2 linked regions of the Arabidopsis thaliana genome follow. The protein of the gene in region 1 interacts with the protein of each later gene in a pairwise test. Each region holds a gene or a part of one and is shown in the gene's direction. Other genes may lie near its edges.

Region 1 (8,177 bases):
CCTCTAGAACATATCCATAATCCATGTATGTACACCGGTTTTGTGCCCGTTTATCTTCCTCAAGAAATTCAGACCTTCTTCACTTACGATTTTTGTTTTAACTAAAAAATATCTTATTCTAACTTTTTGATTGCTTGGTTTATGTTTTTTAGTTTGGAGTCCAGACCATAATCCGTCCGTGTGTATTTGGACTGTAAAAACCCACATGCGGTCCACCCAATTGACAGTTCTAATCATAATAACAACAACAAAACAAGTTAGATTGTAACCGCTATTGATATACCACAAAAAATTGCTATTTTTTCCGATGAAGGTTAAGAGTGTCTTTATCATTTCGGACATTCGACGATAAAATTTTGTTGTGTTGAAAACATAGTTACCATATCAAAAAACTAGTTTTCATCCAAAAAGAAAAGTTGATTCACATTCTTCTTGATGGTATTTAAACGAATGACATTTTTTTGAAGTTTCATATAGCTCAAACACTCAACGGTTTAAATGAAGCTTCTTATATAAACCTCAAAATCAGATTGAACCTAAATGATCTTGGGAACTCAAGTCCGTATCCATAAAGCTTACTTTTTATAATCCAAGCAGCATCTAAGTTACATTTATCAAACCTTTTTCCAAATTTTCTAAGACTATATGTGTACAAGGATTTTATTCACAAAATTAACGGTGTTGAAGAAATTCTACAACATCTTTTTCCAAATCACTTTCAACTTTTAATTCAAACAGTTAACTTGTAAATAGTCTAACTCACTATTTTCTTTACCGCTACAAAATAACGACCGCCAATTTTTTACCATTTTGTTTTTACCGTTTCACTAAATTAATTAACTACGGAGAATGAGAGAATACGTGTTTAACCCATTTCGAGTCTTCTGAACCAGAGAGAGACTCTGGACGTAGTGGCGAGAAAGCAAAAGATTTAGCGAACGTCTCTTCTCTCGTCTCTCGTCAGCATATGCGTAAGAGCATCTCCATTGGTGAGATACTCCATGAGTACCTCATAATATATTATTAATATTTTAATTTAAGTAGAGAAACTTATACTAAAATTGTGCTTCCATTGGTGAAATACTCTTATGAGTATCTCATTAACATTAACATATTATTATATGTTTTTTATATTAAATTTAAAATCTCTACAATATTTTCAAACATATCAATTATTATTTTTACAATTATATTATTAAATAGTTTTATTATTTTTAAAACCATAATTAAACATAATTAAACATAATTAAACATTACTTTACATATAAAATCATAATAAAAAATATATCAATTAAACATAAAATTCCATATAAAACCATGATAACATAAATTAAATAGAAAAAATATATAAATTACACAGAAATTACATATAAAACCATGATAACATAAATCAAAACTAACTATATTATCTATTATGGTTTTACTCTTCATTTGATAATGCACCAAACTTTTGTCATATATGCTCAACTAGGTCATCTTTTAGTTGTTGGTGCATATCTCTATCACGAAGTCGAATTCGATTGCCAAAAATGTTGTAAAATAAAAATAGAAAATTTTAAATGTTTGTTTTCTAATTAAAAAAAAACTATTGTATTTATAAGTTATTATTATGTTTAATGCTTAACTAACACCAATTAAATAATATTCGTATATAATTTAAACATATATATAATAGAGCTTGTTATATAGATAATTTAATTTTATGAATTTTAAAAGTAAAAAAAAAAAAAAAAATAAACATATAAAGTATTTAATTGATGTTATAAAATATAAATGATTTTATTTATAACAAAGAAAAGAAATTAATGACAAGATGACATTTGGAAGAGAGATAAAATTTCTCCAAGTTTCTCATTTCAGAAAATATTCTAAAAAAAACTGATTAAAAAATTATTATTTTAATATTTTTGATTTATGTTTGTTTGGAATTTATCATGGAAATGGTCTAAGGGTTTAACTCTCAAAATCAAAAACCTCTCCGTTTTTTCCTCTCTGTTTAGCTTTGAATTCACAAGAGTCATGCGAAGATTCAACTGGGTTTGTTTTCTTCATCCCTCTCTAGATTTAGCTTCATCGTTTTCTTCTTCTTCCTTTCAATTTTGAAATTGAGTCCTCGAGAGAGCTGAAATCATTTTGTAATTTATGTTTATATCGTAGGTTCTGCGGCATGTACAAGCTCGAAGAACTTTTGATTCCGCGATCGGATTGCGTCAAGGTAATGTATAAAAGTTGTTAAACTAGGGTTATTGATTTCGTCAATTTTTGCTTGTTTCAAAAAGGAATCAAAAACTGACATTCATATGCTCTTCGAGGTTTATCGCCTTCTCTGAGCTGATTTAGGTGTATATGCAACAGACCAACGACAATGTCAAGTTTTTTGGGGTTTATTAGAATTTCTAATGTAGTGATAATTTTAGCTGAAATGGGGTTTTAGGGTTTATCAGGAAGGGGTATCAAAGTATTGGGCACTATTAAAGGTAACTCAAGAGTTGATTTTAAAGAATCGAAATGTAATCTCGAGGTCTCCGTGGTAGCTAACATTAGGGGCATGAGGGAATTTCCAGTTGATGTTTGTGTTTATCTACAGACTATAGGAAATATGCATTCATTACTTGGAAGTTTTGACTCTTTGCAGGGTCTCAGAAGCCGTTGTTCGAGCGATACATTCACGCTACAGGTCTTGTTTTTTTGCATTCACGCTAATGAATAAAATGATGTTTTGTATCATTTTATTCATTAAATGCTTTTGGTTTTGGATAATGGTTCTCAGGTATAAACAACTCCAGTGCTCGTAATTACTATGATGTTCTCGGTGTTTCTCCTAAAGCTACACGGGAGGAGATTAAAAAATCATTTCATGAGGTGAGTCTTTCGGCTCATTGTTAGTGGACTGTTCTTCAGCTTTAAACATTTTTTTACATCAAGCAAAAACTATTAGTAAAAGTTGTCTGCTCAAAATTGATGAGTGAATGCACAATTGTTGCAGCTTGCGAAAAAATTCCACCCTGATACAAATAGAAATAATCCGTCAGCAAAAAGGAAGTTCCAGGAAATAAGAGAGGCATATGAGGTAGTTTTTTCTTTTCCATCTGCCATCATCTGTGTATTTTGAATGTATCTTCTGATATACTTTTGTGTTGGATTAAAAAACTGTAGACCCTGGGAAATTCGGAAAGAAGAGAAGAATATGATAAGGTACGCTTTTTTGTTGTTTTTATTCTTATTTATCTGGTGGCGAGATCACTAAATATATTTCTTGATGTTATCACTCGATCCAGCTGCAGTATCGGAATTCGGATTATGTAAATAATGACGGTGGTGATTCAGAGAGGTTCAGACGTGCATACCAGTCCAATTTCTCGGATACTTTCCACAAGATTTTTTCTGAGGTACATTATTATGTTTCCCTTTTGCTCATCTTTTTATGTGATTAGTTAAATCTCTAACATTAGTAAACTTTATTCAGATATTTGAGAACAATCAGATAAAACCTGATATTCGGGTCAGTTTCTCTGATTCTCTCTTTTATTTATACAACTGGAATCTGGTTGACTTATATAAATCTTGTTGTGTAGGGCTCTTCAGTAATACACATGTTTATATTGTTAAAAATTGAATAGGTGGAACTGTCGCTTTCTCTTTCCGAAGCTGCAGAAGGGTGCACAAAACGTTTGTCTTTTGATGCATATGTCTTTTGTGATTCCTGTGGTGAGTGGCCACAGAAGTTTTCTTATATTGTCTCTTTTGCATTTACTAATATTGACAAGCCAGTCATGGCTCGCAAGATTTCCTGTAAAGATACTTGAGAGTATAGACACTTTAAATTAGGAGTCCTAACTCGTCATGGTACATTATTATTCAGTTGCCCAAAATGGTAAAATATTTTTCTTAACGAAGAATAGACTTCTGGAAATGGCTCTGTGATCCATCGATGTTAATGTACATGTATCTACAGTTTGTTGTCTCTTTTTTTTTTTTCTTTTTTTAATTTTATTCTTGTAACATTTACAGCCTTCTGTCTTTAAAAAGTTACTGATTCAGCCAACTTTGAGAGGACGAGTAAACTCAGTTGGGTGAAAGTAATATTGTTGCAAAACCATGAATCCCAATCTCGCATTGTTTATCATTTTACAGATGGGCTTGGCCACCCTAGCGATGCTGCCATGAGCATTTGTCCAACATGCAGGGGGGTTGGACGAGTAAGTACCATTTAGAGGATATAAGTTTTATTTTCTTTGGAGGGTTAATAAATCATACAATTTCTATTTACAGTACTATGCTGTCTGTCTCTTTAACAGGTAACTATTCCTCCTTTTACAGCATCATGCCAGACGTGCAAGGGGACGGGACACATTATTAAGGTTTGAGAAAAAGAGCTACTTTATTGACGCTTCAGTAGTTATCTCTCTGGCACTGGTTACGAGTATATATGTGTTTATTTCTTCAGGAATACTGCATGTCTTGTAGAGGATCAGGTATTGTGGAAGGCACAAAGACAGCTGAACTTGTGATCCCTGGAGGTTAGTCTAAATCTTCATGCTTTTGTTTATCTTTAACTTGGTTTTGATTCCAAACATGTCTGTCTGCTATGGAACGAGTAGCAAGATTTCATTCACTCTGTTACGTTCCTTTCTTTGAGGATTTGTGTGGTTTAGATGTAATCCAATTTAGATATCGGTCACACTTATTGTTTGACTGGCTTTTCTTTTTCTTTTCTAAGATTATGCTTGGCAATTTACATTTTCTGGTTAATTCTGTGCTTGGTATTTTGGGGCAAAGATGAAACAATGAATTTGGGATTGTGATTTCCGATTATCATCTTACATGACTTTGGTGGATTAGATAGTGAAATAGGTTTTTGATGACAAAATTCTGTCAAACTTTAATTTGCTTTCTTCTCTCTGTACTTGACCACAGGGGTGGAGTCTGAAGCTACAATCACAATCGTAGGTGCTGGTAATGTAAGTTCAAGAACAAGTCAACCTGGGAACTTGTATATCAAACTAAAGGTTTGTTAAAGCATCTGTATTTTCTTCAAATTTGTACTTGTATATTTTGTAAGACGTGCCTAGAGAAGTTTGAATCAAACTCACCCTTGACGTTGATGATTGGTCTACCATTTAAGTCCATTGATCAATTTAACCTAAGAGATAAAACAGTTAATATAAGTGGCAAAGTCATGTTATAAGTCATATATTGACTTTGAACGAATTCATTTCAAAAATGATCTAAACCAATGTTCACAGATTTATATGTGATTGCTACTCTACTTTGTTTGTTGCGTCACTATATAATCAAGACTTATTACATCCAGTGAATCAATTGTTCATGCTCTCTTGTAAAGTATTCTTCAATTCTATCATCATTCTTGCCTCATTTAGGGTCTTACTGCATGCTGAATTTTCCTTTATTGACACGTATCTAATCTTCTTTTGGTCACAGGTTGCTAATGATTCAACTTTCACTAGGGATGGCTCAGATATATATGTGGATGCTAATATTAGCTTTACACAAGTAAGCACACTGGTGAATCCTGAATTTTGGGTTATAAGCAGAGCAGTACCTTCGAAACTCATGTTTTTTCTGCATGGTGACACTTTGTGGTCAAAACTCAAAAGCCTTAACTGCTAGCTGATAAAGCTCTGCAGTAACATAATTTAGGCATGTCCTATGATAAAATAAAACCTCTTAGAGGACATAAACTAGAGAAAAGTTATCTGGAGTCTAGCTGAAAATTAATGAGTTTTGTCCTATTCAACTGGTTTATGTGCCAAAAGTTTACTAAACTACTAGGTTTAATAATATTAGCTAGTAGCATCTTTATCATTATGTATATGATGCGCTTATTCTCTAAACTAGATAATGTGGCATATCGGTTCAAACTCAATTTGATGGCCCCAGTCATAAAACTCAAGTGCATGCTACTGCACTATTTTGCCACCAAGCCATAGTACCTCGGCTGCAGTATTTTTCTATTATAGTGCATCCTTTCATCTCTTATGGTTCACGTTGTTCCTACTATTTCTCCCTTGAGCCATACTGGACATGTCTTAGAAAACTTATTTGACAGGCTATTTTGGGGGGCAAAGTTGTGGTGCCAACACTTTCAGGCAAGATACAGCTAGATGTAAGATTCGTCTCCCAGTGAGATTCATATAATATTTTGTTTGTTTATAATTTGAGTCAAGTTGGTTTTCATCCTCTGACCAAGAGGAAGGTTAGATCTCAAGGCTTTGGAGATAATAGAGGTACCTTATTGTAATTGTTGCAGATACCAAAGGGGACTCAGCCTGATCAACTTCTTGTTTTAAGAGGCAAAGGTACATATAATTATCAGCCTATATGTTCAATTTTTTTTGTGTATTTGCGTGTACTCTTCTTAATAGGTTAGTTCCTGCAGGACTACCGAAGCAAGGCTTTTTTGTAGATCATGGAGATCAGTATGTTCGCTTCCGCGTTAACTTTCCTACGTAAGATTTCTTTTACTTGAAGTTCAAGTAATACACTTGTTGGAGACATCCACATTATGCTATGCTAAAAACTCTACTAGTGTTTAGAATGGAAAAGACACTTTGTTGCTCTAAAGTTACGGTTTTTGAAATAATTTTCCTAGGACAACATTGTGTTAATTTCCCTGCCGTCTGATTATTAAATCTGATTACATAAGCTTCTTGATGTTCTGGTGGCATGTGGATGTGTTGGATTCTCTTCTTTTCATTTCCGTCAAGAGCTAATATTGATAGATTTCTGGTATATGCTTATGCGGTTTACTTTTTTCCTTGTATCTACTAGTGAAGTGAATGAACGTCAGCGTGCTATACTGGAAGAGTTTGCAAAGGAAGAAATCAACAATGAGTTGAGCGACTCTGCTGAAGGAAGTTGGTAAGTAAATTTTATTATTGTGTTTATAACAGCATATTGTGTGTAATATTAGATGGTTAGACGTAAATGGACATCTGGTATAATTCACCTCAAAGGAATGTAGTTGGTTACAATAGAAGAATTAGTGATGCTTATACATTACTGGTACATTTTCTAGGCCTGCTTAGAAATAAGAGTTAGAAAAGGCGGATATGTAGATAACAACAAGACATAATTGAAAAATGAGATACCTAGGTTCTCTTATAAGAAATAACTAGAAGCTCTAAGGGAAACAGTGTAAGAAAGCCAAAATGTCTGTTGGGGCTTTTTCTTTACATTTTGATTCAACTGAATGTTATTTCCTCACTAGCGATTGTTCCTTATAGTAATGAAGAATCATGAATATGAACCAAACAGGCTTTACCAGAAGCTCTCTACTGGTTGAACTTACAGGTGGAATCTAACGGGTCCTCAGATCATCCGCGACTTCTCGTTAATGGTGCTGCTGGCGCTATTGTTGAGCAGGTTAATGGGATGAAGCCACCACGAGAGATGAAAGATAAAAGCATTCAACAGAAGACAAATGAAGACTAATTTCATCTATTGCTGGTAGAACAAAAAGCTCACCAGCATAACAGAGAGTGTCATTGTTTGACCTCATAATTCTATTACAAACTCATTTGATGTGAATAATAAGAGACATCAAACAAGTTAAGCTGAAATAAAGAAAAGAAAAAAAAAAGTCCTTTAAGATTGTGTTTTCGGCATAATCCCACAAGTTTCTCAAACATATCTTCTAATCTACTTGGCGGAGAAATGAGTGCTATGATGTCTTTAAACGAAAAGCCATGCTTCGTTGAGTTTTAACACTCACTTATGGGTCTTGACAAAGAAGATTGTTCTGTCTCCTGACTCTCCTCCTGCTGAATTCTCCTTTTATCCTCGCCAGACTTTATCTCACCATAAAAGTAAGAGACAAAGCCCCAAAGGGAGAGAGCAAGAGAAAGTCCCTTCTCAGCTTGAAACTTTTCATGGTAGAATATAACAGCTAAAACCTCTGTAATTGGCAAAAGCACTGATATCATAATACCCGAGACGAGAGACGATGTGGAGAAGATTAATCCAATGGCTCCCAAGAAGAAGCCTTGCCATATGATGGCTGAAAACACAGCCACCACATAGAACAATGCCTCTCCAAGCTTGAACTCTCTTGCTTCTTTTGGTAAGGCCTGCAAAAACAGTAAAGGGCTCAAGTCTCTGTTAAAAACTCTTTTGTATGTTTTCAGATTCAAAAGAGTGACTAACCTTGAAATCAC
Region 2 (4,370 bases), 3.5 Mb from region 1:
TTGCAGAGGAAATCGCTAGAAGGAAAAGAAGAGGAAGTATGAGTAACAATGTTGTTGATGAACTGACTCAGTACTTATCAGAGTCTATAGTTCCAATGCAGACTGATGTGCTTGATTGGTGGAAGGTAAACAGTGGAAGATACCCGCGACTTTCCAACATGGCTCGGGATTTCCTTGCGGTTCAGGCGACTTCTGCTGCACCGGAAGAGATCTTTTGTGGTAAAGGAGAAGAGATTGATAAGCAGAAGTATTGCATGCCTCATGATAGCACACAATCTGTTATTTGTATCAGATCATGGATTGAAGCTGGTATGAAACTGAAGTACAAGTGTAGTGAGATTGACTATGAACGACTAATGGAGTTAGCTGCCACCGTGGCCGCTGATAATTCTGCCGGAGGTTTAGAAAAAATTCAACAACATAGGTGAGATTATTTTTTAGTATTTGTACTAAAGAACTACTGTAATTTAGTTGTCATACTTTTAGCATGAATCATTGAATTTAGAGTTGGGTTGATGTAAACCAAGCTGGTTAGCTTTCTTCATAACCGTATGTACTTTCATATCATATTAGAGAGAAAAAAAAACACAATGTTGACTAATTAATGGGTTCTGTCTAACTAGAAAAGTGGAAATTAGTTGTACGAAAAAAGAAAATAGCTTATCTCTTTCTTTGTACCTTAGATTTTTCCTTGGTATAATGGATATCGATATGTCCAAGTCCAGTGTTTGAGTGACCAAGTTGTTGCTTTAATTTAATCTAGTTCAAATACGACTACTTTTGTGTTGTACCTCTCTACCTTACCTTCCTCGAATTTTCAATTCGTGTGCTAGTTTGCCAATTGTTTCTTTATAATTTTGTCGTCTCTATGATTGTTTAAGCATATTTAAATATTTGAGAGAAAAAAATACTAAGAGTTCAGTCGTATTTTGAAAAGTCCTCGCACTCCAAGTTTTAAAGTTGAATTCATTCTGTCATGGAAACGTACCTTTGTGGTTTTTCATTTCGATAGACATTTTTTAACTCTTCTGATAAATTCAAAATGTTTTTTTACATTGGTTAAAATTTGTTGCCAATTTCAATAAAGCTTTTTTTTTACTCGTTATAAAATTAAAAACTTGCTGAGAAATTATAGTTTCATATATACTTTGGACCGACGGTCAATACCAAAAAACTAAAATAAAATTTTGGTCAAGAATCGGGTCAATACAAAATATCTCCAAAGATCGAAGAGAAAGTTCAACAGGATTTTAATTTAATTGGTGTTCCGGACCTGCCGGCGCCGTATTATAATTCTTCAATAAATTTTATATTTTGGATTGCATAATCAAAACTATTTGCATAGCAGACATAGATTTCAAAATAAATTGATACGTAATTAGCTATTTACATAGGCAAGACAATTTTACGTTACATATTTTGCATGCTTGATATTCATTCTTTTTTTTTAGCAACCTTTGCTATATTCATTCTATTTTTTCCCCTTTTTTTGCTACTATCAATATCATATCAGATGTGGCGGTTCTTATGCATGGGATTATGAAAAATGATATTATATAATAGATGTCTTCGTAGTATTTTTTTATTGACAATCAAAATAAAATAAATTAGTTTAAGAAAGATCAAAAGTCTAGTGTCAAAATGTCCACTGACAAAAGTTAGCAGTTTTTCTTTTATGTAATAATCCGATTATAAAAAATTGCGTTAAGGAATCATAATGAGCCATGTGTCAGTCATATTTAAACGACGACGTTGGCAGCAGCCACACGTACAGCCTCAGGCAAGCATAAATAGAGATGGGCTCTTTCCTATAAGTTTCCCACTTTGCAAAGTGTAACACAAACAGTTCTCTTTAGAGAAAAAAAGATTCTCTCTATAAAACCTTCTCTTTGTGTCTCTCTTTGTGGTAAGAAAACAGAGCAACTAGATCTCTCTTCTCCTCTGCTCGTTCAATGTTATAACGATCTCGAGTATCACAAAAGAACAAGATGTCTATTCGAAGAATCTACCGATGTCTGAATTCTTTAATCAAAAGATCTTGTGCTCAATCTCTATGATCATACGCCCCATTTCACACTTTGTTTCACCTCTCAGTTTTTTTTTTTGTGTTTTTTTGTCCCTCTTTGTTTCACTTGAGAACAACCCCCTTTGAACTCGATCAAGAAAGCTAAGTTTGAAGAATCAAGAATGGTGCGGACACCGTGTTGCAAAGCTGAACTAGGGTTAAAGAAAGGAGCTTGGACTCCCGAGGAAGATCAGAAGCTTCTCTCTTACCTTAACCGCCACGGTGAAGGTGGATGGCGAACTCTCCCCGAAAAAGCTGGTATGTATTATTTTTTATTATGTTTATTCCGTCATGTTTGAATATTCAATGTTGGACCTTTATTGGTCATTATTGCTCAATTATTTTACTTAAATAATTCTTCTAATTGGATAGGACTCAAGAGATGCGGCAAAAGCTGCAGACTGAGATGGGCCAATTATCTTAGACCTGACATCAAAAGAGGAGAGTTCACTGAAGACGAAGAACGTTCAATCATCTCTCTTCACGCCCTTCACGGCAACAAGTTAGTCTCTCTACCTCTACATTTTATACTTATTTTTTGTTTGCATTAACATTTACTAATATTGTAATCTTATATGTGGTTTTAATCAGATGGTCTGCTATAGCTCGTGGACTACCAGGAAGAACCGATAACGAGATCAAGAACTACTGGAACACTCATATCAAAAAACGTTTGATCAAGAAAGGTATTGATCCAGTTACACACAAGGGCATAACCTCCGGTACCGACAAATCAGAAAACCTCCCGGAGAAACAAAATGTTAATCTGACAACTAGTGACCATGATCTTGATAATGACAAGGCGAAGAAGAACAACAAGAATTTTGGATTATCATCGGCTAGTTTCTTGAACAAAGTAGCTAATAGGTTCGGAAAGAGAATCAATCAGAGTGTTCTGTCTGAGATTATCGGAAGTGGAGGCCCACTTGCTTCTACTAGTCACACTACTAATACTACAACTACAAGTGTTTCCGTTGACTCTGAATCAGTTAAGTCAACGAGTTCTTCCTTCGCACCAACCTCGAATCTTCTCTGCCATGGGACCGTTGCAACAACACCAGTTTCATCGAACTTTGACGTTGATGGTAACGTTAATCTGACGTGTTCTTCGTCCACGTTCTCTGATTCCTCCGTTAACAATCCTCTAATGTACTGCGATAATTTCGTTGGTAATAACAACGTTGATGATGAGGATACTATCGGGTTCTCCACATTTCTGAATGATGAAGATTTCATGATGTTGGAGGAGTCTTGTGTTGAAAACACTGCGTTCATGAAAGAACTTACGAGGTTTCTTCACGAGGATGAAAACGACGTCGTTGATGTGACGCCGGTCTATGAACGTCAAGACTTGTTTGACGAAATTGATAACTATTTTGGATGAGTGAAACTCATAATCGATGAATCCCACGTGACCATGTCAATATGATGTCTATGGATATGTTACCTTGATGATGTTGATGGTAATAATAATAAATAATGATGGTGATGATGACCATGCATGAATCATGAATGTAGTTCGTGTTGTCACATATGCTTGTGTTTTTGTGTTTTTTTTTTTTGGTCTGAAGTGTGTTGTTTCGTTGTAAATGGATTATAAATGGTGATGTAATAATTATAATGTTAACGAGTTGTTAACTTTAGTACTTTTATTGTGTTGGTTATCAGAATTTGTATCCATCCGAATATGAGATTGCTTTATTTTGAAAAATCATTCATTAGCTGCTGCTGCTGCTAACTACTAGTACCATTGCTATTTTAAATTTTAATTGGCAGTATTCCACTATTAGGTCATCTTCATCTGTAAGATACTTTAAAAGGTTTTAAAATAAAATAAAAAATTACTGTAATTTAATTTTGTAATTATTTTTTTTTAAAAAAAATATTCAATTATAAGCAAACACTTATAGAAATAGTCTTTCACTGATTATTCCAAAATTTCTCAAGAAACGTTTCTTCATTTTTTGTCATTCTCTCTCCTCATTTATTAATTATTTATATTATCTTTATCAAAAGAAACTCTAAAAATTGTATGGATGGAGATGCTCTGGTTTATTTTATGAGTTAGGGCTAATAGATTGAGCAGATTGGTAAAGAAATATATCCTCAACCAGTTTTGTATATTAAAAAAAAAACCAACGATTAACTTATTTTGTGACTTAAATCTTTCATTCTCTAATGTATATAAAATTCACCCTATCAACATACGAATAATATTCAGCAATGAGACCCACATAAATTTAAAGCAAGCGAGAGGATCATTCTTTGAATGTTCCGAGGGTTAAAGATAAGAAGAAGTTGATAC

Evidence for each region.
Region 2: the proteins of ATJ1 (region 1) and MYB51 interact in a two-hybrid assay, tested with the Arabidopsis thaliana proteins (one study listed by BioGRID).

What each region holds. Positions count from the first base shown.
Region 1 is NC_003070.9:9,852,579-9,860,755, forward strand, and holds ATJ1 (DNAJ heat shock family protein), read left to right. Parts: upstream 1-1,938; 5' UTR 1,939-2,019; coding exon 2,020-2,037; intron 2,038-2,157; coding exon 2,158-2,215; intron 2,216-2,635; coding exon 2,636-2,677; intron 2,678-2,770; coding exon 2,771-2,862; intron 2,863-2,986; coding exon 2,987-3,070; intron 3,071-3,156; coding exon 3,157-3,195; intron 3,196-3,278; coding exon 3,279-3,389; intron 3,390-3,466; coding exon 3,467-3,502; intron 3,503-3,620; coding exon 3,621-3,708; intron 3,709-4,134; coding exon 4,135-4,199; intron 4,200-4,298; coding exon 4,299-4,361; intron 4,362-4,447; coding exon 4,448-4,520; intron 4,521-4,917; coding exon 4,918-5,009; intron 5,010-5,442; coding exon 5,443-5,514; intron 5,515-6,070; coding exon 6,071-6,127; intron 6,128-6,271; coding exon 6,272-6,320; intron 6,321-6,400; coding exon 6,401-6,470; intron 6,471-6,792; coding exon 6,793-6,882; coding exon of another isoform or gene 6,883-6,886; exon of another isoform or gene 6,887-7,278; coding exon of another isoform or gene 7,279-7,306; and 4 more. Other genes in the region: PUP3 (purine permease 3), read right to left, coding at 7,725-8,090, 8,167-8,177. UniProt on the Arabidopsis thaliana protein: Plays a continuous role in plant development probably in the structural organization of compartments.
Region 2 is NC_003070.9:6,387,578-6,391,947, forward strand, and holds MYB51 (myb domain protein 51), read left to right. Parts: upstream 1-1,821; 5' UTR 1,822-2,187; coding exon 2,188-2,323; intron 2,324-2,437; coding exon 2,438-2,567; intron 2,568-2,656; coding exon 2,657-3,449; 3' UTR 3,450-3,809; downstream 3,810-4,370. Other genes in the region: AT1G18560 (BED zinc finger and hAT dimerization domain-containing protein), read left to right, coding at 1-428. UniProt on the Arabidopsis thaliana protein: Transcription factor positively regulating indolic glucosinolate biosynthetic pathway genes.